Mus musculus: one gene and its partners. The protein of the gene in region 1 interacts with the protein of each later gene in a biochemical or structural test. Links are inferred from orthologs where the notes say so. Each region holds a gene or a part of one and is shown on either strand. Other genes may lie near its edges. The genes, in order: Erbb2, Rasa1, Supt6, Abl2, Fgr, Syk and Tns3.

The links.
Region 2: the proteins of Erbb2 (region 1) and Rasa1 form a complex in vitro, tested with the Homo sapiens proteins (2 studies listed by BioGRID and IntAct, with this or other methods). The link is inferred for Mus musculus from reciprocal best matches to the Homo sapiens genes ERBB2 and RASA1.
Region 3: the proteins of Erbb2 (region 1) and Supt6 form a complex in vitro, tested with the Homo sapiens proteins (2 studies listed by BioGRID and IntAct, with this or other methods). The link is inferred for Mus musculus from reciprocal best matches to the Homo sapiens genes ERBB2 and SUPT6H.
Region 4: the proteins of Erbb2 (region 1) and Abl2 form a complex in vitro, tested with the Homo sapiens proteins (3 studies listed by BioGRID and IntAct, with this or other methods). The link is inferred for Mus musculus from reciprocal best matches to the Homo sapiens genes ERBB2 and ABL2.
Region 5: the proteins of Erbb2 (region 1) and Fgr form a complex in vitro, tested with the Homo sapiens proteins (2 studies listed by BioGRID and IntAct, with this or other methods). The link is inferred for Mus musculus from reciprocal best matches to the Homo sapiens genes ERBB2 and FGR.
Region 6: the proteins of Erbb2 (region 1) and Syk form a complex in vitro, tested with the Homo sapiens proteins (2 studies listed by BioGRID and IntAct, with this or other methods). The link is inferred for Mus musculus from reciprocal best matches to the Homo sapiens genes ERBB2 and SYK.
Region 7: the proteins of Erbb2 (region 1) and Tns3 form a complex in vitro, tested with the Homo sapiens proteins (2 studies listed by BioGRID and IntAct, with this or other methods). The link is inferred for Mus musculus from reciprocal best matches to the Homo sapiens genes ERBB2 and TNS3.

Annotation. Positions count from the first base shown.
Region 1 is NC_000077.6:98,411,019-98,415,283, reverse strand, and holds the start of Erbb2 (receptor tyrosine-protein kinase erbB-2 precursor), read right to left. Parts: upstream 2,801-4,265; 5' UTR 2,622-2,800; coding exon 2,549-2,621; intron 1-2,548. UniProt on the Homo sapiens protein: Protein tyrosine kinase that is part of several cell surface receptor complexes, but that apparently needs a coreceptor for ligand binding. Essential component of a neuregulin-receptor complex, although neuregulins do not interact with it alone.
Region 2 is NC_000079.6:85,254,987-85,258,486, reverse strand, and holds part of Rasa1 (ras GTPase-activating protein 1), read left to right. Parts: intron 1-16; coding exon 17-169; intron 170-2,012; coding exon 2,013-2,148; intron 2,149-3,032; coding exon 3,033-3,103; intron 3,104-3,500. UniProt on the Homo sapiens protein: Inhibitory regulator of the Ras-cyclic AMP pathway. Stimulates the GTPase of normal but not oncogenic Ras p21; this stimulation may be further increased in the presence of NCK1.
Region 3 is NC_000077.6:78,242,904-78,246,959, forward strand, and holds the start of Supt6 (transcription elongation factor SPT6), read right to left. Parts: upstream 2,801-4,056; 5' UTR 2,645-2,800; intron 1-2,644. Other genes in the region: Sdf2 (stromal cell-derived factor 2 isoform 1 precursor), read left to right, coding at 3,093-3,267.
Region 4 is NC_000067.6:156,557,307-156,561,586, reverse strand, and holds the start of Abl2 (tyrosine-protein kinase ABL2), read right to left. Parts: upstream 2,801-4,280; 5' UTR 2,539-2,800; coding exon 2,382-2,538; intron 1-2,381. UniProt on the Homo sapiens protein: Non-receptor tyrosine-protein kinase that plays an ABL1-overlapping role in key processes linked to cell growth and survival such as cytoskeleton remodeling in response to extracellular stimuli, cell motility and adhesion and receptor endocytosis.
Region 5 is NC_000070.6:132,994,595-132,998,094, reverse strand, and holds part of Fgr (tyrosine-protein kinase Fgr), read right to left. Parts: intron 3,449-3,500; coding exon 3,345-3,448; intron 3,178-3,344; coding exon 3,028-3,177; intron 975-3,027; coding exon 819-974; intron 704-818; coding exon 524-703; intron 128-523; coding exon 51-127; intron 1-50. UniProt on the Homo sapiens protein: Non-receptor tyrosine-protein kinase that transmits signals from cell surface receptors devoid of kinase activity and contributes to the regulation of immune responses, including neutrophil, monocyte, macrophage and mast cell functions, cytoskeleton remodeling in response to extracellular stimuli, phagocytosis, cell adhesion and migration.
Region 6 is NC_000079.6:52,641,882-52,645,381, reverse strand, and holds part of Syk (tyrosine-protein kinase SYK), read right to left. Parts: coding exon 3,377-3,500; intron 2,343-3,376; coding exon 2,230-2,342; intron 1-2,229. UniProt on the Homo sapiens protein: Non-receptor tyrosine kinase which mediates signal transduction downstream of a variety of transmembrane receptors including classical immunoreceptors like the B-cell receptor (BCR).
Region 7 is NC_000077.6:8,444,536-8,448,035, forward strand, and holds part of Tns3 (tensin-3), read right to left. Parts: intron 1,207-3,500; coding exon 1,111-1,206; intron 489-1,110; coding exon 411-488; intron 1-410. UniProt on the Homo sapiens protein: May act as a protein phosphatase and/or a lipid phosphatase. Involved in the dissociation of the integrin-tensin-actin complex. EGF activates TNS4 and down-regulates TNS3 which results in capping the tail of ITGB1.

The DNA of each region.
Region 1 (4,265 bases):
CAAAACCATCTATGGAAAATGATCTGGCATGTAAGAAGCAGAAAGAAGTTTTTAAAACGGGAGACAAGCACTTAGTGGGATCTGGGTAATTACAGGAGAAAAGAGAAAGCCTTTTCCATTTGATTTTGAGATGCAATATATTTCTCTCTTTTCTTGTTAGGGTTAATTTTACTTGATGTGTGTCTCTTGCCTGCCCTTGTGTCTGCACTAACACACATGCCTGGTGCCTGTGGAGGTCAGAATTAAGCATCCAATCTAGAATTGGAGTTATGAATGGTTGTGAGCCACCAGGTGAGAACTGGGAACTGAGCCCCAGGTCTTCTGCAAGAGGAATCTATTTAGTCCCCGTATGTATAACAAAAGGTAGGAAGGGCCTGGAGAGACTCAGACTAGAATTGAAATAGGAATGACCCCTGCCAAGTTAAAGACCTGTGTTTACTGCATTTCACAAAACCTTTAGTACTGAGGAACCCAGCAACAGCTTGATCCTCTGGGTCTCCCCAGATCTCCTTTCCCCTACACACCTGCCCAAGACCAGTTCTGGGGTCGAACCTGGAGCTAGAGGCAGCTGATGGTGCCCTGCCCTTTTAACCATTCCTGGCAAGGCAAACTCTGCCTTGTCCCTCTGCATCCAGCAGTGCATCTGAAGGGATGAAGGCTCAGCAGCCCTCCACTCCCTGTCTGGAGAGCAGACCCTTCAGATTCCAGCTCTACAGCACAGGGCCACTTCTGGTCAACTGCAGACCCTACCCAGCTCAGGTGAAGGGTCTAACCTCACTCTTCTGCACGGAAAGTCAGCAGGAAGGCTGGCCTCCTGAGAAACTGAAAGGAGACTCCATCCTGAAGAAGGCAAGGGGCATCTCCCAGTGTTTACAACAGATAGAGCCCAGTGCCTTGAGGAAGTTCCTAGAGAGGGCAGAGTTCATCCTGTGTCCCCAAGTCAGCAGAGAGACTGCTGTTTGGCAACAGAAACTGGGAGGAACACACAACCATCATAAAAACCTCAGACACACAGGGGTATCCCACAGTGAGCACAGCAGTGTGCTGTCAGGAACTGGGGCAGGAGAGGGGGGCAAGGGGGCACAGATGGTGATACTCCACCAGCCTCCAGGCTCGCTGGCCTCTGGAGAGCACCTACTGTTTCCAGAACCTGTGTTCTGCATCTTCAATACAGCCCACTGATTACGGAAGCAGTGTCTCCGCACTGCTCAGCTAGACTCGTATTTATGTGAATCATATATCATATCCTGTGGCTGGTCACATTGCCTGGGATCCACCAGTTACTCCAGGATACTTCATTTCCCCAGCCCAGGTTTCCCCCCTGGGACAAGGAGAAGGCTACTAATGTTTCCACTGTGGAGTTGTTCTTAGTACTGTAGAAGGAATGCATGCAAGCCACCACCCACGGAGCCTGGCAGAGCTGACCCACACGGGGTGACTGTCAGCTTTTACGCTCATGGTAGAACTGGACATATGGGTCAGTATACACACTGCTGGGTCACCCTCCCAGCCCCCAACACGAAGATAAAGGCAAGAAAACAACCCAGCTCTCTGTCTACCCCTAGCTGACCTTACTCCTTTTCGGTGCCCTCCCCCCGCCCCCAAATGCCCAGGAACCCTTTCCAGTTTATTGTATGGAAGCCGGGAAAACACAAGACCACCCTTCAAGATCCGAGCCTTCCCGGAATCCCAAAGCACACAGTACTTAAGCTGGCTCTAAGGAAATTTGTTCAAAACAGGGCTGTGGAGTGTGCAGCACTGTGATAGAGGGCTTGCCTAACACGGGCGAGACTGGGATGGAGGGTAGGGGTGTTCCATCCCCAGCACAGAAGAGAGAGAGAGAGAGAGAGAGAGAGAGAGAGAGAGAGAGAGAGAGAGAGAGAGAGAGAGAGAATGAGAGAGAACTGTTGCAAACAAATGCCTGCCCCTCCTCCTGCTCCCCCATATCCCAGACACTATCGATAGGCAACTCAACTGCGGAGCCGCCACTCGGTCCTCCCTGCTCGACAGGATGGGTTACTTTCCCCACCGCCCCCTCCACGGCGACCCCACTGGAAGCTGGAGTAACTTACTAAACCCAAAGGGCCAGAGGGGGTGGGAAGGGGGAGGGGAGGGGCAGAGGGGACCCCGAAGGCATCCTGCCCAGTCCGGTCCGGAGGCGGAGGCTGCCAACTGGAAGAGCTCTGAGAAAGCGTGAGGGGGGCTCGAAAGGGGGGAAGCAGGCGCACGCACGCACAGCGCTTCACACACCCTCCGGAGGAAAACTTTCCGACTAGTTTCAGAGAACTTTCCCAAGGAGTTCCCGGAGTCTCCTGGAGCCCGGGAGGCTCCGGTGTAGCGAGAAGGGGCCGGTCCGGACCTCCAGTGTGGTTCTCCGAGTGACTGTCCCATCCCCAACTGCTCCGATCTCCTCCGGGCCGCGGCGCCGGTAGCCGGAATCGTCCCAACGTCCCGGACCGCCCGGCCGTGGAGCTCTCGGGGCCCCGCGGCTCCGGCCGCCCGTGGGCGCAGCCGTAGCGGCCCGAGCCCTCCCCAAGCCAAGACCCACCTTGGGTACCCGCGGCTCCGGGGGACAGGAGGGCGAGGAGGAACCCCCAACGGCACCAGGCCGCCAGCTCCATGATGATCACTGCGGCTCCGGCCCCATGGCTCAGGCTGGACCAGGCTGCGGGCGCGGGGCGCGGCGAGGGCAGGCACAGGCGCGGCGCCGGAAGGGGCCGCCTGGGAAGGGGCGCTCCTGGGCTCCGGGTCCCCAGCGGCGGGCAATCTCAGCTCCACAACTTCACGCCGCACTTCCTCGAGCAGCCCTCCTCCTCCGCCTCCTCCGCCGCCGGTGATTGGGAGCCGCGCGCTCCCGGCTCGCCCCCCCACCCCTCCAACTGCATTCCAGCAAGACTGGGAGTGGCTGCTCCCAGCTTCACTTTCTCCCTCCCGGCGCAGGCCTGGGTGCGTCGCGCCCTGTGCCCTGACGCCTCGCTTGCTTGCTTGCAGTTCTCACCCACTTCCTAAAAGCAGGGCATCTCTTTACCCCTCTTTGCAGTCTTGGGTGGGTTTTATCTTGGATACTCTTGGAACGTTTGCATCACACTCTTAATACCAGATAAATGGTTTGTCGCCACATCCTCAGGTAAAATCAGCCTGGGAAGGGAATGTGTTATGTCTAACTGGTGACTTCCAAGACTCTCTGGGATATCAATTCTGTCCTTTTGGGTATCTCCTGCCTGATCTTAAAGGAACCCACAGAACTAGGAGAAGCGAGTCACATCGGGAGCCCTCTGTTCATCCTTGGAAGAACAGCTTCTCCTGTTTCTTTCTCTTTTTAAGACTTATTTTTATTTCAAATTATGTGTGGTCATATATGGGTTTTGGGGGGTGTCACATAAGTGCTGTTGCCCACAGAGGTCAGAAGAGGAAGTGGGAATCCCCCAGAGCTGGAGTTACAGGGTGCCGCCCACCCACTTTGGTGCTGGAAACAGAACTTGGGTCCTCTGCAAGAGCAGCACAGGCTCTCAACTGCTTAGCCATCTCTCCAACCCCATGCCCACTTCGTTCTGACTTTACCCAGTTCTCAGTTTCATTCATCGTCCTCTCTCTCCCTGTCCTTTTCGCCTGCCAGTTTACCCCTGAAGTACCTAGATATCACTCCTGAAGCCTGGTAACAGGTGAGAAAGGAAACAAAGGTATGCCTTTGGTTGGAAACTCCAAGAACACATTGCAAGAGACATGTTTACCAGGATGAATTGCCCGTCGTTTATCTGAAATTCAAATTGAACTTCATTACGTCCTTCTTCTTTATCTGCTACATCTGATGATGGTACTTGGAATGTTCCAGTAAAGAACACACCTGTGCTGGTCAAGATGCAATCAGAGGCATCTTTGGGGGAGAGAAATGAAGGGTGGCCCTCTCTTAATCTACTTTCATTGAACTGAAACTCAGTTTCAGGCAGACACTTCCACGCTAGGGGCCAAAGAACATGGGACTCTGGTATCTAGAAGACCTGAGTTCGTATCTTCCCTCTATCACATTCTGGCAGTGAGACCTTAGGCAAGTGACTGACGATCTCTGGGTCTTGTTTTACAAATCTGTAAGACTGTGTGTGCTAGGGGCTAAAGGAGAAGACACTCTAGAAGCACTCAGCAGTGTAGTGCTTGACACATAATAACTGCTCAGTAAATGATCCCAGATTTAGCCATTCTGGGGCAGATGGGGTGTTTGTGGGGATCAATTTGAGGTACTCAAAGAGAAAGAATACAACATTATAAAT
Region 2 (3,500 bases), on another chromosome or scaffold:
TGTGTTTTTTCCCTAGGTGGTATCATGGAAAACTTGATAGAACTATAGCAGAAGAACGCCTCAGGCAGGCAGGGAAATCTGGAAGCTATCTTATAAGAGAGAGTGATCGGAGGCCGGGGTCCTTTGTACTTTCATTCCTTAGTCAGACAAATGTTGTCAATCATTTTAGGTAAGTCTTTGTTCCTAGTTTAAGGTATTTAATATGGCACTTAGTATTTACTCTGATATATATATATATATATATATATATATATATATATATATACATGTACATATATATATATATATACATGTACACACATATATATATATTCACTTTTATAAAAGTGAATGACTTTGGTATAATAAACTTGATTTCAATTAAATTCTTTAATCAGTGATTTAGAGTAAATACTCTTGACGTGTTTAAACTTTTTGTTTAAAGGTAGTAATATTGAATGGGAAAGCGCTTAATGCATCCGGGCTTGGAGATCACAGATTGAAATGTCTCCTGCATCACATAATCTGGAGGTTACATCTGTCTGTGACAACAGGGAGTCTCTTTATGCATTCTTCATTCACTACAGTTTAAGTTGACAATTCCTTCCCAATAAAAATTCACTTACACCTCCTGCCTTTGTTAGCTTTGTGATAGAAGTAGCATGTTGCTGCCAGAATACAAGCATTGCTTTGGGCAAATTAAAATGCACGTCCTTTTTTTTTTTTTTTTTTTTTTGGATTAGTATTTCTATTTATTTATTTATTAGATATTTTCTTTATATACATTTCAAATGCTATCCCGAAAGTTCCTTATACCCTCCCTCTGCCCTGCTCCTCTACCCACCCACTCCCACTTCTTGGCCCTTGCATTCCCCTGTATTGGGGCATATAAAGTTTGCAAGACCAAGGGGCCTCTCTTCCCAGTCTTAATACACTAGAAAGGAGAAATAAAGTACACAAGTCCAAGTCTAAACTTTAGTACTTTTCCATGCAGATTTGTGCACATGTGAGAGGGTATCTGGTTTGCCCAGCAATTATTCTTTAGAGACTTGGACCACTATGTTGGGTGTTGGCTAATCATTGACTGTAGTCCCAAAAAAGCCTTGTGAAAATGTTATGCCCTATGCAGCAGCAGAGTACCATAAAATAAAACTACATTTTATAACCCCCCCAAAAAAGGTAGTAATATTGCCTTTTACAATGGCAGTTTTCAAATATATGTACAATTAAGGAATATATTACTACAGATACATTTTGAAAAGGTAAAAACTAAAATGAAAGATGTATAGATTGAGACTGTAGAGTAACAGAAAATACTGTATGGACGTTGAGGTTGTCCTTAGTTTTTTTTTTAAGTCTCACTATCTTGAAATTCTTAAGATACATTTTCACTTCTGTGAGATAAACAGGTATGTAAAATTTCAAAGGTATATCTATATATAAGTATACTTACCGATACTACTGCATTTCATTTTTGTGAAATGAAAATATGGGAGAAAAATAAAACATAAATCATCTGTAGCTAGTTTTAACTGATAAAATGTTCTTGTGTCTTTACATTTTAGAATAAGTTTTAAGGGTACTGTCATTGTTGTGATAAGTTCACATATATAATTTCACATCAGTAATATCCGATCATAATTTTTATGTAACATTTTTATTACAGTTCACATAAATTTCAAAAGATATGCAAGCTACTTGTAGTCAAAGAAGCCCTTATACAATTGTTGAGTATTAAAAATAGAAAGTAAAGAGAGATATCTGAGGGTAAATTTTCAAATATTTGATTCAACTACATAATTGAGGCTTGTAAATATGTCATATCAAATTCATAAATATTTTAAAATAATACTCAATTTCTGATGATATAAATATGTATTTTTAAAATATAGAAATGTTATATTAATGGAAAAGAGTATGAAATTGATCATATTCAGAAAAGAGACTATAAAAGACTGGCTTTTAAGATCCTTTGCAAACTATGTTTTTTGTTTTTATTTATTTATTTGTTTGTTTTGTTTCATTTACTATAGGATTATTGCTATGTGTGGTGATTACTACATTGGTGGAAGGCGTTTTTCTTCACTCTCAGACCTAATAGGTTATTACAGTCACGTTTCTTGTTTACTTAAAGGAGAAAAATTACTCTATCCAGTTGCACCACCAGAGGTAAGTAAAACTCGCATGATATATCACAACTTTTAGTTTACAAAATCGATGGATTGTAATCTTACCAAATTTCTTACATGTATTAGAATTTAATAAATATTTGTTTTAATTCTAGTTATAATTCTAGAACAAAAAAAATGATAGTTTCCTTCAAAACTAATATTTGTATTTAAGTAACTGGACTTTTAAAGATAATTTTGTGTTTATAGCTTATAATAATTGCTAGAGAAGGTAAATGTTTATATCATAAAAGGTAGATTAATTTCTATGTTCTCTGTAGCTTATTTAAGGATTGTTTAGATTACCCGAAGAAAATGTGTTATGCGTGTAGAGTAATTTTTCTAAAAATATCAAGGAAGAGCAGAAACATGTCTAGGTTCTATGTAGATGCTCAGTAAAGATTACAGTGACTATGGAATTTATAGTATGCAGCTATATTGACTTCAAGCTTTGTGTGAATTTATCTTTTTTGATTTACAGAAACAATCTTCTTTTGTGTGCATGGGTGTTTGTATATGTCTGTGACTGTGTATACAGGCTTGCATGTGTGTCAAGGAAGGAGTGCACGTGCAAACTTATTACTGGTGGCTAGAATTTGACAACATGTCACTCTTGATTGCTCTCTACTTGATTACTTGAAGCAAAGTCTCTGGATGAAACTAGAGCTTTTAAATTTGGTTAGTTTGGCTTGATCGTTTGCCTCAGGTACCCCTGTTCGTTCCTCCTAAATGCTGGCATTACAGGCAGCTGCCATACCTGTCATAACTTTTATGTGGGCTCTGTAGATCCAGCTTGGATTTTCAAGCTTGTGAGACTGGAGATTTAGCTATGGAGACATGAAGCATCTACCAGCTCCTAATTATTTTTACTTTTCATGGTTTCAGCCAGTAGAAGATAGAAGGCGTGTACGAGCCATTCTGCCCTACACAAAAGTACCAGACACTGATGAAATAAGGTATTTTATAGTGTTTTTTTATGTAGCATTTGAAAAGAGGTAGACAATGAAGATTCATTGCTTTTAAACTTGGAAAGATTTTGAATTTGAGAGAATATTATAGGCATATAAAGTTGTATTTAATACTCGATCTGTTATTTTCCCATGGGATGGCTTATCTATTCCCAAGGTTTGTATCAGTGTGGCTACAGTGAAAATTACAAGAGAAAAACTAGATTATTTTTTTAAAAAATTCTGAGAAAGTAGAGATTTCTCTCATAATTTGTGTGCTTTTATTATCTATATCTATCAATCCTACTCTACCTAATCTACCTATGTTCTATCTGTCTGTCTGTCTGTCTATCTATCTATCTATCTATCAGTTTGTTTTTATTCCCCATTACATTTATGCCTCAGC
Region 3 (4,056 bases), about 20 Mb from region 1:
TGTCTACAGCCCCAGCTACGTGGAGGCTAAGGAAAGAGGACTGCTCGGATCCAGGACTGATGGGCATTAGTTTGATCAGTATGATTATATTTTTAACTTTAACCTTTGGGGAGTGAGGAACTAGCAGTATGCCTAAGGAGAAGTAAGGCAGCCCACACACACCAAAGGCCAGTGAGACGACTCAGCCAGCAAAAATACCTGCCACTCAACTACGTATACAGGAGAACTACATAAAAATGCAGTCATTTTTCTAAGACTAAAAAGGAGCAGCTAGTTCAATAGAGTAAAATCCAAGAGCCAAGCATTAGCAACTGTACTAGTCCAGAGACTCGGAAATGAAAACAGAGTAACCATTGGATTTGGCCACCTAGTAGCTTCTGGTGTCCACAATAATTTTGGTGAGCAGTTCCAAGGAGAGTCAGATTGGTATTAACTAAAGTCCTGGTGAAAGGTAAGAAAGTTGAACTGGTATAAACTGAAACCTGACTATAGGATGAAAATCTTAAAATTAGGGTGCTGAAGCTATGCTTAGTAGTAACAGCACATGTTTATACTTCTAGCACTGGGGAGGCTGAGGCGGAGTGACCACAACTCCTACGTCAGCCTAGGCTACCTGTCAAGGAAGATGATGGCTGGAGTGGCCTTTCAGAGAGATTAGAACAGAATTTTGGTTTTGATTTTTTTTTTGGTTTTTTTTTTGGTTTGGTTTGGTTTGGTCTTTTCTGAAACATAGGATTTGGTGATTGATATTGGGAAATCATTGTGAGGAAGCCAGTGATCACACCCGACCCAGATGGTGATTACATTTATTAGGAACAAGAATATTGCTGGATGGTGGTGGCACAAGCCTTTAGTCCCCAGTACTCAGGAAGCAGATCTCTGTGGATTCAAGGACAACTAGAAAGAGTGATTCTGTCTTCAAAAACCAAAAAAAGAACTAGAGGGAGTAAATAAGCTTTGATTGGATTTTAGGACTGTTCTACTTTCTGGCTTGATATATCACTTGGTAAGTAAGATTAAGTTCATTTGGAGAGTGTTAATTCTTTGCCAGTCTAAGCTAGGCAGTGGTGGTGCATGCCTTTAATCCCAGCACTTGGGAGGCAGAGGCAGGCGGATTTCTGAGTTCGAGGCCAGCCTGGTCTACAGAGTCAGTTTCAGGACAGCCAGGGCTATACAGAGAAACCCTGTCTTGAAAAAAATAAAAACAACAAAAAATACTTTACCAATCTAATCTAGTCTAATCTAATAGTCACACAAGCCAACCAAATAAAATAAGCCTGTAGTGGTGGGACACTAGGCATGGAGAGGGGCTCTAAACTCGTGGTTGAAGGGAGAGCTGTTTTTGAGACAGGGTCTACAAATGCAACCAAAACGTAAATTCCATGATCCTCCTGGCTCAGCTTCTCCATTGTTGCTATAATTGTTTTGTAACTAAAACACTGAAGACTCACAAACTGTGAGTGTTCAACAATAGAACTAAACTTTTTCTCCCCAAAATTAATTAAATTCAACGACTTCCACACATTGTAGCATACTTCAATGCTGGGGAGGGGGACCAGGCTCCTCCCTTCCTACAGGTTTATGGGCAGTTAACGGTTGCTAGGGGGGAGGGGCTCATCATGAGATCCCACCAACCCTAAGGATCGATAGTAATTCATGGTTGCTGGGGGAGGGGAACATTTTCTTTAGGGTTGTAGCCCAGGCTTCTCTGAATACTTCTTCACCCATGTACTTGTAAACCACCATAAATTAACTAATTGAGGCATACACACACACACACACACACACACACAAATTAATGAAAGTAATAAGTAATGGAGGATTCTGAAGAAGGGGAGCAGCGGGAATGGAGTGGGGCGGGATGAAAAACAAATTACCCTATGACCTTTGTATTACCGTGTCTTTTCATGTAATTATTACAGGAGACCCGCCTCCTAAAGGAAAACAGAAATCGATTCTTTCTGTAATACAGAGGAACTGCTTTACTTAAGATACTCGAGTACCTGATGTCAAACAATACACATTTCTGATTTAACAACCAATTCTAATATTTATGATAGGTCTTTGGCAAGTGTTCGAGGAAATGAATTATACAAGATGGAAGGCTCCAGGTACTTAAGTATAAACTCGCATCTTTAGAAAGGATTAAGGGACTTGCCCATATGTGGAAAAAAAACCGTATAATTACTCAACATTTTGTAAAGAGCTAACATTCAGCACAGTACACCCGCCTCATGGCTGAACTCTCGAAAGCTCAGCAGGACCCAAACGCCGGACTAATTAATCCGATCACCTGATGCCAAGTAAAGAAACCCTTAGGTCTCTCTTCTAGTCCCAATTTTTTGCGTGGCCCAGATTCCAGACGCCGCGGAGAAGATGGGATCCCAGAAAGCCTGTTGATTCAAGAGGTAACCCCAGGTCACAGGTTCCGGGTGGTACCGCGTGGAGAAAGGGCTGGAGACTCTGAGCAATCACGGTACTTTCCTGTCCTTTTCCCCCCTGGCAGATCAGGGAAAGCCAGGGCCCCCTTCCTTCCCGCAGTGGGGCACCCCAAAGCTTCTTCCCTTACGGGACCAGGCCCCAGGAGTCTGGCTCGCCACCTGCGCACCCACACACGCAACACACTCTCCAGGCTGAGCGTTACCTGCTTGAAGGCCGCTGCTTCTCCGCTACGCTAAGCTCCCACCGAAGAAAATGGAGTCGCCGATCAGAGACTGCAAAAGGATAGTCCGGACCCACCGCAAGGGCCCTCCGCAGCCGCCGCCACCACCACCACCACCGTCGCCGCTGCTGCGTTAACGTAGTACGTCACCTCCGGCTCTCTGTCACTGGGAGTGGGAGGGTCATTTCCTGCTGTCTTTTCCCCTCCGGCGTCTAGGGCTTTGGTTCCGAGTCCGCGAACGCCTAAGGAACGCAGCCGCCACAGAGCACCCAGTACAAAGTGAGGTCCCGAAGGCCTCCCGGGCCAGCGTGTTCTTTAAGCCGCTCTCGCCAAAGGAACCATAAAGATTCAGGTTAAGGAGTCTTCTCTTCCATCTTGGCGTAGTTCTACCCTCGGCTTCCGGTTCCGGGGACGGGCCTAATTTTCTTGGATGATTAGTTCTCTCGGATCTAGGATGGCTGTCTTGTCGCTTCTGTTGTTGGGTGGTTTGTGGAGCGCTGTGGGAGCGTCCAACATGGCTGTCGTTACTTGCGGCTCCGTGGTGAAGCTACTCAATACACGCCACAATGTCCGACTGCATTCTCACGACGTGCGCTATGGGTCAGGTACAGAGGGGGACTCACCGCTCTGGGTGGGCTGCCTAGGCCGGGTGAGCCTAGAAGGGGCGGGGCCTCGGAGTCTGAGGGCGTGGTCTGGGAAAGTTAGCCGTGCCCTATTTCTTGAAGAGGACGACGAGTTGCCAAGGAAACTTAGTCCTAATGTTAGTTTCTGTTTGATGAGCTGTGGGCCAAACGTGTTACATATATACTTTCCGGTTTTTAACATTGTATTGAGGACAGATACTAAAGTTATTTTCTTAGGTGAGTAAATAGACCTAGAGATATTGCTCAAAGCCAGCTAGTGAATGATGGAGACAGGGTTTAATCCAAATCTGTGCAGGTTCAAAATCTTTCAGATTCCATGGGCTGCCACTATTTTGTGCTGGAGAGAGGAGCATTTAGAGCAAGACAACATAAGCTGAATCTCAGATTTTAAATGTCACCTATTTTTAGCTCATATTTTTTGACACTCTAACTTAGCAATAACTTTCTTGTAAAGAATTTAAGCATTGACAGACATTGCAGAGGAAAGTCTGTTTTTTATCATGTGCAATTAAAATACTCACTTATTCGTGGGCTCATTCATTTGGCCTAGATTTAAAGAGCACTTTTAGTGTGTCTCGTATTGTTCTAGATACAGGAAATACAGTAGTGAATCAAACAATAAAACAAGACTAATGGGCAGGCGTGGTGGCCTAGGTCTGTAATTGTAGCACTCAAAAGGTTGAAGCAGGATTGTAACTTCAAGATCAGCCTAGCCTATATAGTGGGGGCTGTCTCAAAACAACAGAAGTT
Region 4 (4,280 bases), on another chromosome or scaffold:
CCAGAGTCCTCCTTGTGCTGGATGCCTGGGCTCGTGGGAGAGCACCGGTCTAGCTTAGATGAGGCCCTCAAGTTTAATCCCCTGGAGCACCCGTGCGCCCCCCCCCCAAATTAAAAAGGATTTACTGTATTTCTTCCAGTTTTTATTAATTTTTTTACACTAGTCTTGGGCTACCATATTCACATCCTATCCATCAGCTTTTAACTTTCAACTTTGTCAATAAAATCGTTATTATCCCAGTTACCCAGGTTGAAAACCTTCATGGTAATTTTAACACATCCTCATTTTTTATAATTAGAATACTGGTGAAAACAGGTAAGACCAGGTTGGCCCTGAACTCTTTTTTTTTTTTTTTTTTTTTTGGTTTTTCGAGACAGGGTTTCTCTGTGTAGCCCTGGCTGTCCTGGAACTCACTTTGTAGACCAGGCTGGTCTCGAACTCAGAAATTCGCCTGCCTCTGCCTTCCAAGTGCTGGGATGTGCACTACCACGCCCGGTGGCCCTGAACTCTTAAGAGACCCTTCTGTCTCTGTCTCCCAAGTGCTGATATTAAAGTTGCGTACTATTATACTTGCCCCAAACTGAATTCATATGTGCAAGAATGCTGTTAACCAGTCCTGAGAACCTGGGTTCAGTTACCAGCACCCACAGAGCAGCTCACAACCATCAATCTACAGGAAGAGACCTAACGCCCTCCTCCTTGCCTATACGGCATCAGGTATGTATATGTACATGCAGCAAAACACACACACATGTAAAATTACATTTTGCTTTTACAAATTAAAAAAGGAAAAGGGAAACAAAATTTGTCTATTCCTAAGTCCAAATGCAGAACTCGGACACAACTCACCCAGCAGCTACAAGTCTTGGGATCATCTCTTTGCATGCTATCGTCACTTCCTTTGAAACGCCCTTTCCCGTGACTAGTCTACACTTCTTCTCCTTCCCTTTCCCCGAGCTATGTGCAGCGGGACAGTTTATCCTTCACTTCACTCCTGTACATATTATCAATGAAACCAGCTTGCTACCTCTGCTAGCCGGTCCTTCCTACAGATATTACATCTCCATCACCAGCCTCTCAGGTCTTAGGATGGCTTCTGATATTTTTCTCCTTCTCTATTCTGCCCTCCTCTAGAACAATGCTCTTAAAAATGGTCAACAACACACTATGGAAGAACAAAAGAATCCACTTGGCATCAAGGGGAAAAAATATTCATTCATTCTTCTTCTTCTTCTTCTTCTTCTTCTTCTTCTTCTTCGATACTGGGGCTTGAACTCAGGCCTCACATAAGCTGTGTACACTGTCACTAATTTACAAGGCTCTATACTTAATTTTCCTCATGGCACCCTTTCTTATACTCTATTTCTGACCGTTGATTACATTATTTGTTAATTACTATAACCTTGTCTATATTAATAAAGACACACAAATTAAGAGTATGTGCTCAAAATTTGTATTTACTAGAGTTCAGGCACTTGCCCCCAAGCCTGATAAAGAGTTTAATACCTGGGAGAAATGACTCCCCAAGTTGTCTCCTGACCTCTGCATACATGGGTGTGTGCGCACATACACATACACACAAAATAAATATAATTTTAAATAGTTTAGAAACAGCCCTTCTGAAGAATATGACACCGAGTAAGTCCCAGACTATGCGGAGCACATATGTATACACCAATGCAGCTCAAAGAAAAACTCATGTTCAGACCACATGGAAGGAAGCCCTAACCATGCCCACCCATCGACAGCCCCGCCAGCCATCTCAGAATCCTGTGTCCTACTCGGATAGGCAGAACAGGGTGGTTTGGCAAAGCCTTTCATTTCTAGTTTGGAGAAAATACTCTGTTGAAAGTAAAAAGATACGGAAAAGGGTTTCACAGTTCACCATTCTGACACTGCTCACCGCCTGGTTCATAAAGCACATACCGAATATGCCACCACAATCTCTTAAAGATTCAGTACCTATTTCCCAATTCCTCAGGGCACGACTCGTTCCCGTCGTTCACAACCGGTTTATCCTCCCACCTCCTGAACCTGAGCTCATACCTGCCTTCATCCTTCCCTCCCTGGGGATACCATCCACAGTTCCACAGTCGCCCCGTCCTGTCCCAGGATAGCAGGACAGTCAAGCCTGGGTCCCTAAGACCCCGGTTCGTGCTCGCCGCCGCCGCCGCCCCCAGACGCTGCCAGCCAGGCGGGGGGAGGGGTGTGCCTCGCCTCCCGTGACTGGCCCAGATGGCAGCCGATTCCGCCCCCACTCGCGGGCACCCCTCCAGCCCTCGCCCCCCGAAGGCTGCCCATCCGCCTCGCACCTCGCCCCGACCCCACCCCACCCCTCCCCGGCCTCCCTCATGCCCTCCACCGGCTCCGGACACACTCACCGTGCTGGGTGAAGACGTTGAAGCCGGCGTCTGCGGTACGCCCCGCCGGGTCCCGCCTGCGGCCCGAGGGCCTGGCTGCGCTGCTGCCCCGGATCCCGCGCGGCTGCGGCTGCTGGAGCCCCGGAGCCTCCCCGACGCGGCCCACCTGCTGCCCCATCCCGCCGCTCGCGTACTCCCGCGCCCCCGCCGACCCTTGCTCACATTCCTCCTCTGCTCCGGCCTCCGGAGCTCCTGGCGCCGCTCCGGTCTCTCCGGCCCAAGCCCAGGCCCTCTGGGCCGGAGTTGCCGGCGGCTCCCACGCGGACTCCTCGGAGCCGCTGCCGCGCTGCCTCCCAGCGACTCACAGACTCTCCTTCTCCCTCCCCCTCCGGCGGCTCCTCGCCCCAGCCGCCGCCGCCATCTTTAAACCACCGAGCACAGGGCGAGCGTGGGACAGAGCGTCTCCCGCCCCCCTCTCGCCCAAGCACCTCCGCTACTCGGTGGGCGGAGCTCGGCGGAGCCCCGCCCCGCGCCGCGCCCCGCTGGGTGGAAGCCGGGGCCCACAGGGTCAGCGAAGCTTTCGAGGGCCCTCGAGTGCTTTTACTGCTACCTTCACCCACGTTCGGCTCCACACACTGCCCCACTTGGAGGACTGTGGGCGCCCGGCCTTTCCCGTCCCACCTCCACCTGTCAAATCAGAAGAGGCTGAGAAGCCACCACGTGCGCCGCGCAGCTCAGCACCAAACAGCTGAGGCTCCTGATCCCTGGGCTTCGCTGCCATTCAATTGAGGAGCCCTTCACACACACTTAGCATTGGGCCCAGAATGAAGTTTGGAATGGTACAGAATTCACGGGGAGATGGTCAAGTGCGGGGTTAACTTAATTCGGTGAATTATTTCTTGATGTGCACTTTGCCGTCTTATTGGCAAAGCGGTTAGAACTCAATTCTTCATACTACCGTGGATTTCTCTTGAACTCTTCCACCATCGACCTACCCGCATGTGTTTCTGTTTACTTTAAAACGCCTGGTGGGGCGCTGGTGAGATGGCTCAGTGATTAAGAGCGCCGACTGCTCTTCCTAAAGGTCCCGAGTTCAAATCCCAGCAACCACATGGTGGCTCACAACCATCTGTAACAAAATCTGATGCCTTCTTCTGGAGTGTCTGAAGTCAGCTACAGTGTACTAACATATAATAAATAAATGAATCTTTAAAATAAATAAATAAATAAAATGCCTGACAGTAAAGCGACTCTTCTCACAGACATGCTTTCCTCTCAGTGCAGGTTGGGCCCTCCTTTTTGGCAAGGAAAAGATAAATCACTTTGACCTTGTTTCTGAGTCAAAACTTACTCATCTTCACCGTCTGGGGTCTAAATAGAGAAATGGACAGAAGAGAAGCTATTTTTATAGATGTACACCCTATGTGCCATGAGGACTGGAGCCATTGCTTAAACCAAGGAAAACCACCCTGGGGAAGAAAAGAATTAGCAAAATAGATATAATTCCCCATACATGTCTTTTGTAGAATGGTGTAAGATCACAAGTGCATGTGGGTGAGACTCAAACTCAGGACCTTGAGTTCCAGGTGAGTGCTCTACCACTTGCTACTACCGCCCCCCACTCCAGCTGATTTTGATATTCACTATTAAAGAGCCTTAGGAGCTGGGGAAAGATGGGTTAATGACAAAGAAGACTTGCACTGCAAGCCTGACCACCTGAACTTGCTGCCTAGGACCCACACAAGCAGCTACTGGTCATAGAGAAAAGCCAGATGCACCAGCCCAAGCTCTGTGATCCCAGCTGGTCCACAAGAAGGGGGGAGGCAGAGATAAGGGGGTCTCCAGAAACCTGGCTTACATGTGCAGTGGCTAAGGGACCCTGTCTTAAAAGAAGCAAGAACTGACAGTAAAAGTTGTCCT
Region 5 (3,500 bases), on another chromosome or scaffold:
AGGCCAATAGAAGAGAAGTCTGGGAAATGACGCCTGCTGGTCCAGCTTACCTGGGCAGCCATGTCCACTAGATGGGGCAGCATCAAGTTCTGACCTTCTCGATCCTTTAGGAAATCCAGCAAGCTACCTAGGGGGAAGCAGCCAGAAAATCAGCAGCAAGCCCCTACCTCCAGCAAGCCTTCTTACACTGGCCTTGCCCTTACCCAGCCAGTCTAGCCTCACTTTGCCCCCCTCTCTCCCGGTTCTTTCACCTAGATCAATCTTCCTGCTCTGACTCCACCTCCGAACCCCTGGACACGACCCACTTAGACTCCTCTCCAGGTCGGCTCTCCATTCCCAGAGCTTGCCTGGTATGCTCAAAGATATCCACATGTTGGCTAAGCACCTTCTGTCAAGAGGAGGCCCCGCCCCCCGCAACAGTCCCCGCCCCTAACCACTCCCCCTACCCCCTGGAACTATACAGTTTCTAGTTCCTTTGCAGGTCCCTGGTCCCACCCATCCAAATCCTGCCTGTCCCCCTCACCATAGCACATGAACTCTGTCACAATATAAATGGGTTCCTCCGACACCACCGCATACAGCTGCACCAGCTTGTCGTGCCTCAGCAGCTTCATGATCTGTGCCTCCTCCAGGAATGCCTTCGGGGACATGGTGCCCGGCTTCAGCGTCTTCACTGCCACCTTTGTGCTGCAGTTCCATGTGCCTGCTCAGTGGCCGTATACTCATCAAGACTGGCTCCCCGCAAGTCCTGTGCCTTTTCCCAGACCCCAGACAACCTCCCAGCATCCTCCATCCCCATCCCCACCCCCATCTCCTACCCAGCCACACATCTCCAAAGCAGCCGGTGCCCAGCCTGCGTTCCAGTGCTATGGAGTTCCGGTCGATCTCCCAGGCATCCTTGGCCAGGCCTAGAGTCTGGGGCTTAGTGGTGGTACAAGGCGCCGTAAGCAAGTAGCACAGACCATCATTCACTTCTGTAGGAAGGGCAGATGGAAGGAGGTCACAGATGGAAAGTTATGGATACTCTCTCCGAAACGCAGCCCAGCATCAGACCCCAAGCTTAGCTGCCATAAATAATCAGGGCCTAGTGGAATACTCATGCTGGTAATTCCAGCACACAGTAGGCTGAGGAAAGAGAAAGGAGTTTGATTCTAGCCTAGGCTACAGGGTCTTTCTCTCTCTTTTTGTTTTAAGAGATTTATTTATTTTATGAATATGAGTACACTGTAGCTGTCTTCAGACACACCAGAAGAGGGCATCACATCCCATTACAGATGGTTGTGAGCCACCATGTGGTTGCTGGGAGTTGAACTCAGGACCTTTGGAAGAGCAGTCAGTGCTCCTAACCTCTGAGCCATCTCTCCAGGCCCAGGCTACAGGGTCTTAAATAAATAAATAAATAAATAAACCCAGAGAAACGAAAATAGTTTACAGTTTGTCTTCACAAGCCAGGATTAAAAGAAAAGAAAGAAAGAAACAAACAAAGAAAGAAGAGCCAGGCACAGACAGTGGTGGAACACAACTTTAATCTCAGCACTCAGGAGGCAGAGGCCAGCCTGGTCTACAGAGTGAGTTCCAGGACAGCCAGGGCTACACAGAGAAACCCTGTCTTGAAAAACAGAAGATAAAAAGGTTCCTATTTGAGCTCACAGCCAGGAAAGAAGACAGTTCAGCCCTCTGAGAACTTGTCTGTGCCCAAGGAAGGGCAGTAAGTATACAAAAGAGAGATGACCCCCGTGGAAACTTTATGGGTCTTCCGAGGAGGTGGCCTCCAGCCAGGTCTTTGAGGACAAGGACTAGTTCTGACAGGTAAAAACAGAGGTAAGGTTCTGAGGCGAAACTGTGGACATGAGTCCGTTCCTGCCGCAGATCTCATCCTGGGCCTAACCAGTCAAGATGGGGACGAGAGGCACTGAAGGTGCCTGGTCTCCATGCTGGGTTTTACTCCTGGATGGACCATAACTGCTTAACCCCACAGGAGGCCTCGGTCAGGTCAGGTCCTTGCTGCCTCCTGCTCAGGCTCAGAATCATTGGCTTCTGCTTGTTTGCTGTCACCACATGGAAAATGACCGCAGCTGTCCAAGGGACCGCTCCTTCAGCCTTGTCCCCGACGTCCAGGTAGCACACAACAGCCAGAGAGTCTCCACAAAGCTCTGATCAGCTTCTGCAACCCACTGCTTAGAGCAGCAGTTCTCAATCTGTGGGACATGACCCCTCTGGGGTCGCATATCAGATATCCTGCCTATCAGAGATTTACATTACAATTCATAACAGTAGCAAGATTACCGTTATAAAGTAGCAATGAAATAATTTTATCGTTGGAAGGGTCACCATGAGGAACTGTATTAAAAGGTGGCAGCATTAGGAAAGTTAAGAACTGCTGGCTTAGAGCCTATGATAGATAATGACTCTGCCTAGGAAGTACAACAGGGCCAGCAAGGTGGCTCAGCAGGTAAGGTGTGAGCCAGCAGCCAACCTAGCCACCCGGGTTTAGTCTCTGGGACCTATATGGCAGAAGGAAAGGACTTACTTCCACAAGTTGTCCTCTGATTTAGACACACACAACGAGAGAGACAGAAAGAGACAGAGAGACAGTGAGACAGAGAGATAGAGAGAGAGAACAACAAATGCCCCACAAAGTTTCCATACACTGAATAGACCGAAGCCAGCAAGATTTTGCTCGGCAGGTAAAGACGGTGTCTGCTGGCAACCCCAATGACCCGAGTTCCATCCCCAGGACCCACTTGGCTGAAGGAGAGAATCAACTTCCACGAGTTGTACTCTGACACGCATGAGCCCCCCCCCCAAAAAAAAATGTAAAATTTTCAAAAGTTCCCCAGGCTTAGGCCTGGAAGCAAGATTAGGAGGCATTGCTTGCTCTCCGTCTGCTCAGACTCCACACAGAGCAGAATCCTGGCCTAAGGACGCATGTACGTGGCCCAGCCACTACTTCTTTAGGAGATTTTTGTTCTCCAGGCCTCAGTCTCCCCGTCATGACAACACGGTCAGTCACACTTAGCAGCTCACCCATGTAGTGCCGCACTAGGTCCTGTATGGAGTCAAACTGGGCCCGTGTGGTGATGTAGTAGCCGCCCGTGTCCAGCTTTCGGATCTTATAATGCTTTATGTGATCGCCTCTGTTCTGGTCCCAGTCACGGATGGACAGGGAGTAGGCCCCTGGGTGGAAAGGGTCCTTTAGTTCTCGTCTCCCTCAGAGCAGGAGGAGGCCCCCAAAGGAATTCCCAGAGCCCAGCTTAGCTCTGCCCCTCCACTTGGCCCTGACCCAAGCACTGACCAGCCCACTGTCCTTATTGTCTGGTGGCATGTCTGCCGTACCAACCCACCTTTGGTGGTCTCGCTTTCCCGAATGAGAAAGGCCCCCTGGGGGTTACCAGAGGACAGAAGCTGCCTCTCTGCATCCTTTCTACTGATCTTTCCGAAGTACCACCTGTTAGGAAAAGCAGGCAGAACCAGGCACATTCATTCCAAACGCCAGTTCA
Region 6 (3,500 bases), on another chromosome or scaffold:
AGAACTTGTCAAGTTGGCAAGGCTGGCTGACCAGAAAGCATCTGAGATTTTCCTGTCTCCATCTTCCTTGCTGGTGCTGGGACCACAAGCACTTGCCACCAGGCCTGGTGTATTTTATATGGGTACTAGGGACTGAAGTCAGGTCCCTAGAGTTACACAACAGTAACTCTTTACCAACAGAGCCATCTCCTTAGTCCCTTGGCTAAAAATCTTAAGAGGAGAATATGGACACAGCTGTAATATACCATACCCACGTTCAAGCTGGACTTTCAAGGAGAGGGGGTATTGGTTTGTGCTCTTGCTAGAACTCACAGATTTCTGTGGCTGTGGTCTGGTTCAGAGCCCAACCCTGTGCATCCTAAGTCTTTGCCCAGCAAGTCTGTGCTGTCGCCTACAGGTTAGATGCTGAGGCAAGCAAGCGATGAAAGCAAGCGATGAAAAGACTTAACTGTAGCTGCTGGTTCATGCCTGGTGTCTGCCTGCCTAGCGGACTGGTCTGCAGCTGCTGAATCACATTTGGTGTTTGCTACAGGGCTGAGCTGCTGCCCAAGAGGATCAAGCTCGCCCCCCAAAGAACTATTGCTGAACAGGTCCACTTCCCCCATAGCCGAATAACTTTTATCTTCTGCTACCTCTGCTGAGTGGCGGGCTAGAGGGGAGGTTGAACCTTTATTAAAAATACGTTGCAAAAAAAATGTATGGCTACATTCAATGTCAGCTTTCTAACATCGAGTGCCTCACTAGCACCGAACAGCTTTATCACGGTGGCTGGGATCCTTCCCATAGGTAGGGCAGAGCATGCCCAGTGGCTCACAGTGGATTCACGCTCTCACCACGTGCACGGTGTCTGTCCTGCTCAGGGGATGGAGGGGAAGGCAAAATACACTGTACCCAAGAATAGGGATGGGGCTTCCGACCCTATGGGCTGAGCAGTGGTGAACGTGGCAAGTGGCAACTCTGCACCACTATCGGGAGACTTCTGGTACTGAGCTGTCTGTGGTCAGCAGGAGCATCTAGCCTCGATGTTAGGATTCTTGGAAGCAGTGATGCTCCCAGACATGTCTGAGTTTGTGGAAGGCAAGAGTGTTCTAGATGCTTGAGTTGACATCTGGGATTCTGTGACTTCTCCCAATCCACATCACAGTCTCATAAGATTGTAACAGCTGGCGACTTTGCAGCTGCCCTAGTTTGCTTACGTATGCTTTATGACATCCCCACAGTTACAAAATGCATATAGTAGTATGCCTGCCATGAAACACCATGATTGGCTAGTAACACAGCCAATCTCTGGCACCGCCTCCTGTGATGATTTACATAGAAGGTGGCACATTCCTGATGCATCAAGAGAACTCACGCTTCATTTTAATACCCAGTGTGATGGCTCAAATCAGGCATCCATCTTGGTACCTTCTAGGTGTTTTTTGTCTCTGACTCCAGTCCCTGGAAGATACATTCCCAGTTACCCCGACTTGTGATCTCCACCCTAAAGGGTACAGATGTGACTGGCTACTTGCCATGCCATGACTAACTGCCTTTTTAGCTTCTGTAACTTGCTTATGCAGATACCCGAAGATTGTTTTGAGTTGCTTTGGCCAATTAACTTGGGAGAACAGACCAATTTTTGGTTGCCTGTTTAGATATGGGAGGTCTTTCCATGGTTTTCCTCTTAAAAAACAACAAACAAACAAACAAATAAAAACCCTCAACAACAAACCCTTCCTCATATCCCTCCTTCACAGCAATTTCAAAAATTGGCTCAGAGATTGTTCATCCTGCTGGCAGCTAATCGATACAGCTTTTAATTATAATTGGATCGAGCCTGTGGTCTCTTCCCAGGGATCACAAACTCCATAACAGCAGCTGTGGCTCGTTTTAATTGTCAACTCTACACAGTCTGGAACGGCTTGGGAAGAGAGGCTCAACAAGGGCCTGTCTCCAACAGGTTGGCCTGTTGGGGAATTGGCTTGATTGTGTGAAGACTCAGGCTACCACGGGTTGCTGTTGGACCGGGGAATCCTGGACTTTCTAAGAAAGGAGATAAGAGAACTGAGCACCGGAACTGTGCACAGCTCTCTGATGTGTTGTGAGAGCATCAAATGGGTTAAGTTTCAACCGCCCTGACTTTCTTGTGAGCATTTTATCACAGCGGCAGAAATGAAGCAAGGACAGCAGCCACACAGCCCACTTCTGGAACCTTCGGGTCGATGGCAGGAAGGGCTGGGCACTCACTCGTAAGTCCAGCACAGGTTCATCAGGTCGTACATCTCTCTCGGGCATCCTGCAGGGCACCCCATCCGCTCTCCTTTCTCCAGCATGGCGGTCACTTCGCTCCCTTTCATCCCCTGAGACGTGAAAATGCACACAAGCTTTCAAAACACATACAAACAAGAGTACCTCACCTGCAGACACACTGGGACACAGACACAAGCTGCTTGATTTCAAGCGACATCAGTCATAAGACTAGGGGCCCCTCCTCTGGAATCCGAGAGTCAGATGTGGCTGCCCAGTGAGAGGGCTGGGTGTGTAGGGGAGAGGGGAGGCTCTAGAGTTTCTGTTCTGATTCTTCATTTAGGGAATGAGCTTTATGGGACACTTCATTTGTGACAACCCACTGAGTGACACCCTAGGATCTGCCTGCACCCAGGAACCCCCACACCTCCCACCTCCTATACACACACACACACACACACACACACACACACACACACACACATGGGATAGTTCAGGCTGCAAAGTGCTCACCTTGCAAACACAAGAACCTGAGTTAAATCCCCTAAACCCATGTAAAAATACAAGCGTGGTATTGAATGTTTGTGTGCCCAGTGCTGGGTAGAGAGACAGGCAGATCCCTGGGGCTCACAGGCTAGCCAGCCTGGCCTATTGGGTGAGCTTAGGCTAATGAAAACACTGTCTCAAAAAGCAAAGTGGAGAGTCCCTGAGGAATGACACCTGAGGATGGTCTCTGGGCTACACACACACACACACACACACACACACACACACACACACACAATGTGTTTGCACATACACAGGTGTGCACACACATGAGAACACACACGCTTACAACTAAAATACTTGATGTCATCCATCCGTATCACCATTTCCACTTAACTCTCAGGAAGGATGGCCTGTGCCTGGTGCACGTATGTGTGTAGCACAGTGAGAATGCATTCACTCAGTATCACATGTCATTCTCAAGTGAGTACAAGCGTAAGTTAGGTTGCACTAGCCGCCCACTGTTAGAAGGTGATGGGAGACCCCAGGGTGTCCTCAGATTCCAGGGGTTCAGGTTCTTGTGGCAATAACCCCATACTGAGGGATGGTTTCTTAAGTCCAAGAGGCTGAGACACAAAACACACAGCTAAGCATGGCTCACTCTGTAGGGCTTCTGCCCATAGGAGAACGCTTCCCACATCAGGACTCCGAAGCTCCAGACGTCACTCTTACTGGAGAACTTGTAGTAGTTGATGCATTCGGGGGCGTACCACTTCACGGGCCAC
Region 7 (3,500 bases), about 90 Mb from region 1:
TGCCCAAGGAGACTAGATCTTCTACAACTACAGTTTTACATGGTCGTAAGCTGCCTAATGTAAGTGCTGGGAATTGAACTCAGGACCTCTGGGAAAGCAGTCAGTGCTTTTAACCACTGAACCATCTCTCCAGACCCCAAGTGTTTTACATCTTTAAGCTGAGCAGTCTTTGTTTTCTGGACACCTTCCATACAGGCCACGATGGGCAATGTCTGAAAGCTATTATCAGCAGCAGGGCATTCTTCTTTCTCAATTCAGGTGGCCACTAGTTTTCTTTGGGGTTTAAGAGTATATGTCATAAAAAAAGAACCTTAGTTTATTTTGTAAGGTGGGTCCTGGGTACAGCATGCTATCAGCGGTACAGAAGATCGTACACGCAGCCAGATAGCACTGAGAACTCCTCCACATACCTCTCTCCGGAATGAGCAGCTTGCAGGGTAAAGCCAAGGGCGTAATGGAATGCTGGCACACCAAAGCCGTCAGGCTCCCTATAAAGTGGATAAGAGTAAATGAATGTCACCAATCTCTTCACTTGCTCTGTGCTTAACCAAAGAATCAGTTGAGACCAAAATTCCAAAAACGCATGCCTTTATACCACTGTGGGATGTGACTCAAAGCTCCAAGAATGACAAGGCCCAAGCCAATGAAGAGGGTGATGGAGGGACCTGTAGTGTATGCCAAGCATATGGCCTTTATAAGTGCGAAGTGCCGGGGCGCTTCTTACGAGTAGGAAACAAGGCTGCCCCGGTCTATCCAGAAGGCTCTCAATTCACAAAGAAGGGGGAGCTCTGGTGGCAGCACTGTGCTCCTCCTCCTTGTGCCTGAGGCATGGGGACACACTGCGCTCCAACCCTGCTGGGACCCAGCTGCTGACCTTCACCTTGTCTTATTCTAGCTCTCGGAGGATCCCTTCCGTTTATTTGGTTTTTGACAAGGCTTCTAAAGAACAACTGCCCCTTCAGCTTATCTTAAAGACCTCACGTGGCAGCCTGACACCCTGGGGCTGAAAGGAGAGAAACCCATTGTGGTACAGAGTCCCTCGAATCTCAAGCCACCTGAAGGAGGGAATCTATGCTCTAGAAATTCAAAAGAGCTTCTCAAGTAACTCACCAAAATATGGTTCATTTGAGCACCCTTTCAACCGCACTCCCTTTGGGGTACACTCAATCAGGAAATGCCGGACAAGTTCATTGGACAAATCTCCAGCTGCGGGAAGAATAAAAATTTATTGTTTTAAATTTAAAATGTAAGAGAATCAAAGTAGGGATCGAGGGTAGAGAAAAAAGAGAGAGAACTATATAGAAGACAGACAGACAGACAGACAGACAAGCTTTTATATCTGCCTCCTGCAGATATCAAATCTAAGGGCTACACTTAAGAAGGCTCCCTCTAACTAGGATTAAACCACTGCACTACTGGGCCACTCCCAGAACCACTCCTGGGATGGTCAGTGGGCGGGGCCACAAGGCAGGTGGATAGTAAGACTTAAGAGTCCCTGAGAGACAGACACCCTCAGGCGGAACTCCAGAAACTCCCAGAGACGGGATGAACTGGCAGCTTAGAAAGACCCTGGCCTTGGAGCACCAGCTGCATTCCTCCAAGAGAGGAAAGGCCACCGAGGCTCCGGCAGAAAAGACTTCAGTACAGAGCTGGAAGGATGCCAGCCCTCTGGGTGAGGTGGAACCGCCAGCTGGGTACAGAAACGCCTGCAGCAACAAGCAGTCTGCTATGTAGGGGCAGCATTCTACCAAACTGCTAGTAAACAGGACACTTGTGTTCAAGCCAGCTGCTGAACCGAAAGAGAAGAAGCAACTGAATGGAAAAGTACAAACTGAACCAGGAGAAAAGAAGTCACTGCCCCAAGCTGCTAAAGTCAGTAGACACCCTGTGTACTGCATCTCTCTCCTTAATTGCTGTCTTTAGCACTCTGAGACCTAGCCTCTCAGTATAATTGATATAAAGCAAGACCTACTAAATTTGCGATTCGGGAGAGGTTGCCAGACTCTAGTCTGTATAAGCTGAATAAAACCTGGCAAATTTTGAGCCCCAGTATGAGGCCATAAATGGAAGATTCCACACCACGAAACTTTGTTTCATGAACGAAATAATGGAAAATATTGCATAACATTACTTTCAAAATATATGGAATGTATATGAATTCTATAGGAGATGTAAATGAATTTAATCTTAGGACTTGGGTCTCCCAGGTTGTATTCCCAGCAGCCACATGACAGCTCACAACTGTCTGTAACTCCATTTTCAGGGTATCTGACACCCTCTTCAGGCCTCCATGCATACTAGACATGTACAAATTTATGCAGTCAGATATACAAGGAAAAATATCACACAAATAAAATAATAAAGAAATAATTTTTAAAAAAGACTTAAGCCTCATTCCCAAGATACCTCATTATTAGTGTACAAATATTTTGAAATCTGAAAATAATCAGAAACCGTCGCCATATCTGTTTGGGGCCATTTATGATGAGAGATCCTGAGCTGCATTAGGCTCCAATGATGCTGATCAACACCACACATTAGCGGCAGTACATGTTAGCATTTCCTAGGGGCAGTCAAACCTGCAGGGATTCCATGAAAGTCTGACACATAAAACAGAGGGAACAAAATATGACACTTCCTCTGTGGGAAGAGAAGGTGTGGGGCTTCCAGCCTAATGAGAAAACCCACTGAAGGTCTGGATTCTACTTGTGGAAAATGGCCCCGTGAAGATCCTGCTGCCAAGGGTGTTTTGGAACACAGAGTCTAGAATGACCACAGCTGTCTCATCTCAAATTGACTGGAGGTGGCTCAGTGACTAACTGGCTCTTCACTCATTTGGTAAACTCTTCGCTCAAATCTATCGTTGGACTGGGAAATACAAATGTCAAACCCAGGCCTAGGTATACACACAGAGTCGAGACTGTATTTCAGCCAGTGGAGACCACCATGCTGGGTTTTCTGACATCTGCTATTCACATAGCCTCTATTTTGTTCGTTTATTCTCAGACTTAGTCTGAAGGCTGCCCAAGGAAGGATACATTCCCAGACATTAGAAGTCTTTTCCTGATATGTCACTAACTGATGTTCCTAAGTCAGACCTGGTAGTCCTCAGCAGCCAGGTCTGAGTGAGTGCTTCATGATAAAGGCCATACGTCCCCGCAGTAAGGTTCTGTTGAGCTTCTTAGGCGGGAATCCTAGACGTTCTATGTGATGTCACTTACTCTCCCACTCCCTCACAGAAGCCCTGTCAGCACCCCCAGGTTTGGGAGCTGTGCTCTGCCTGAGTCCCAGGTGCCTCCCAACCACACTTCCTAGCCTTGCAAGGCAAGCACATTCCTGAAGCAGGTCAGCCACCTGTGCCTGAGGCTGGCCCACTTGCAACCACATCTTACAACCTCAGTACACCGTGTACCATGTTTGCTCCAGGAAGCTTTCAGACAGATTTCACACAAGAGTTAGGATGGCTCATCTCAGACCCAGGCATGGGATGGGACAGACAG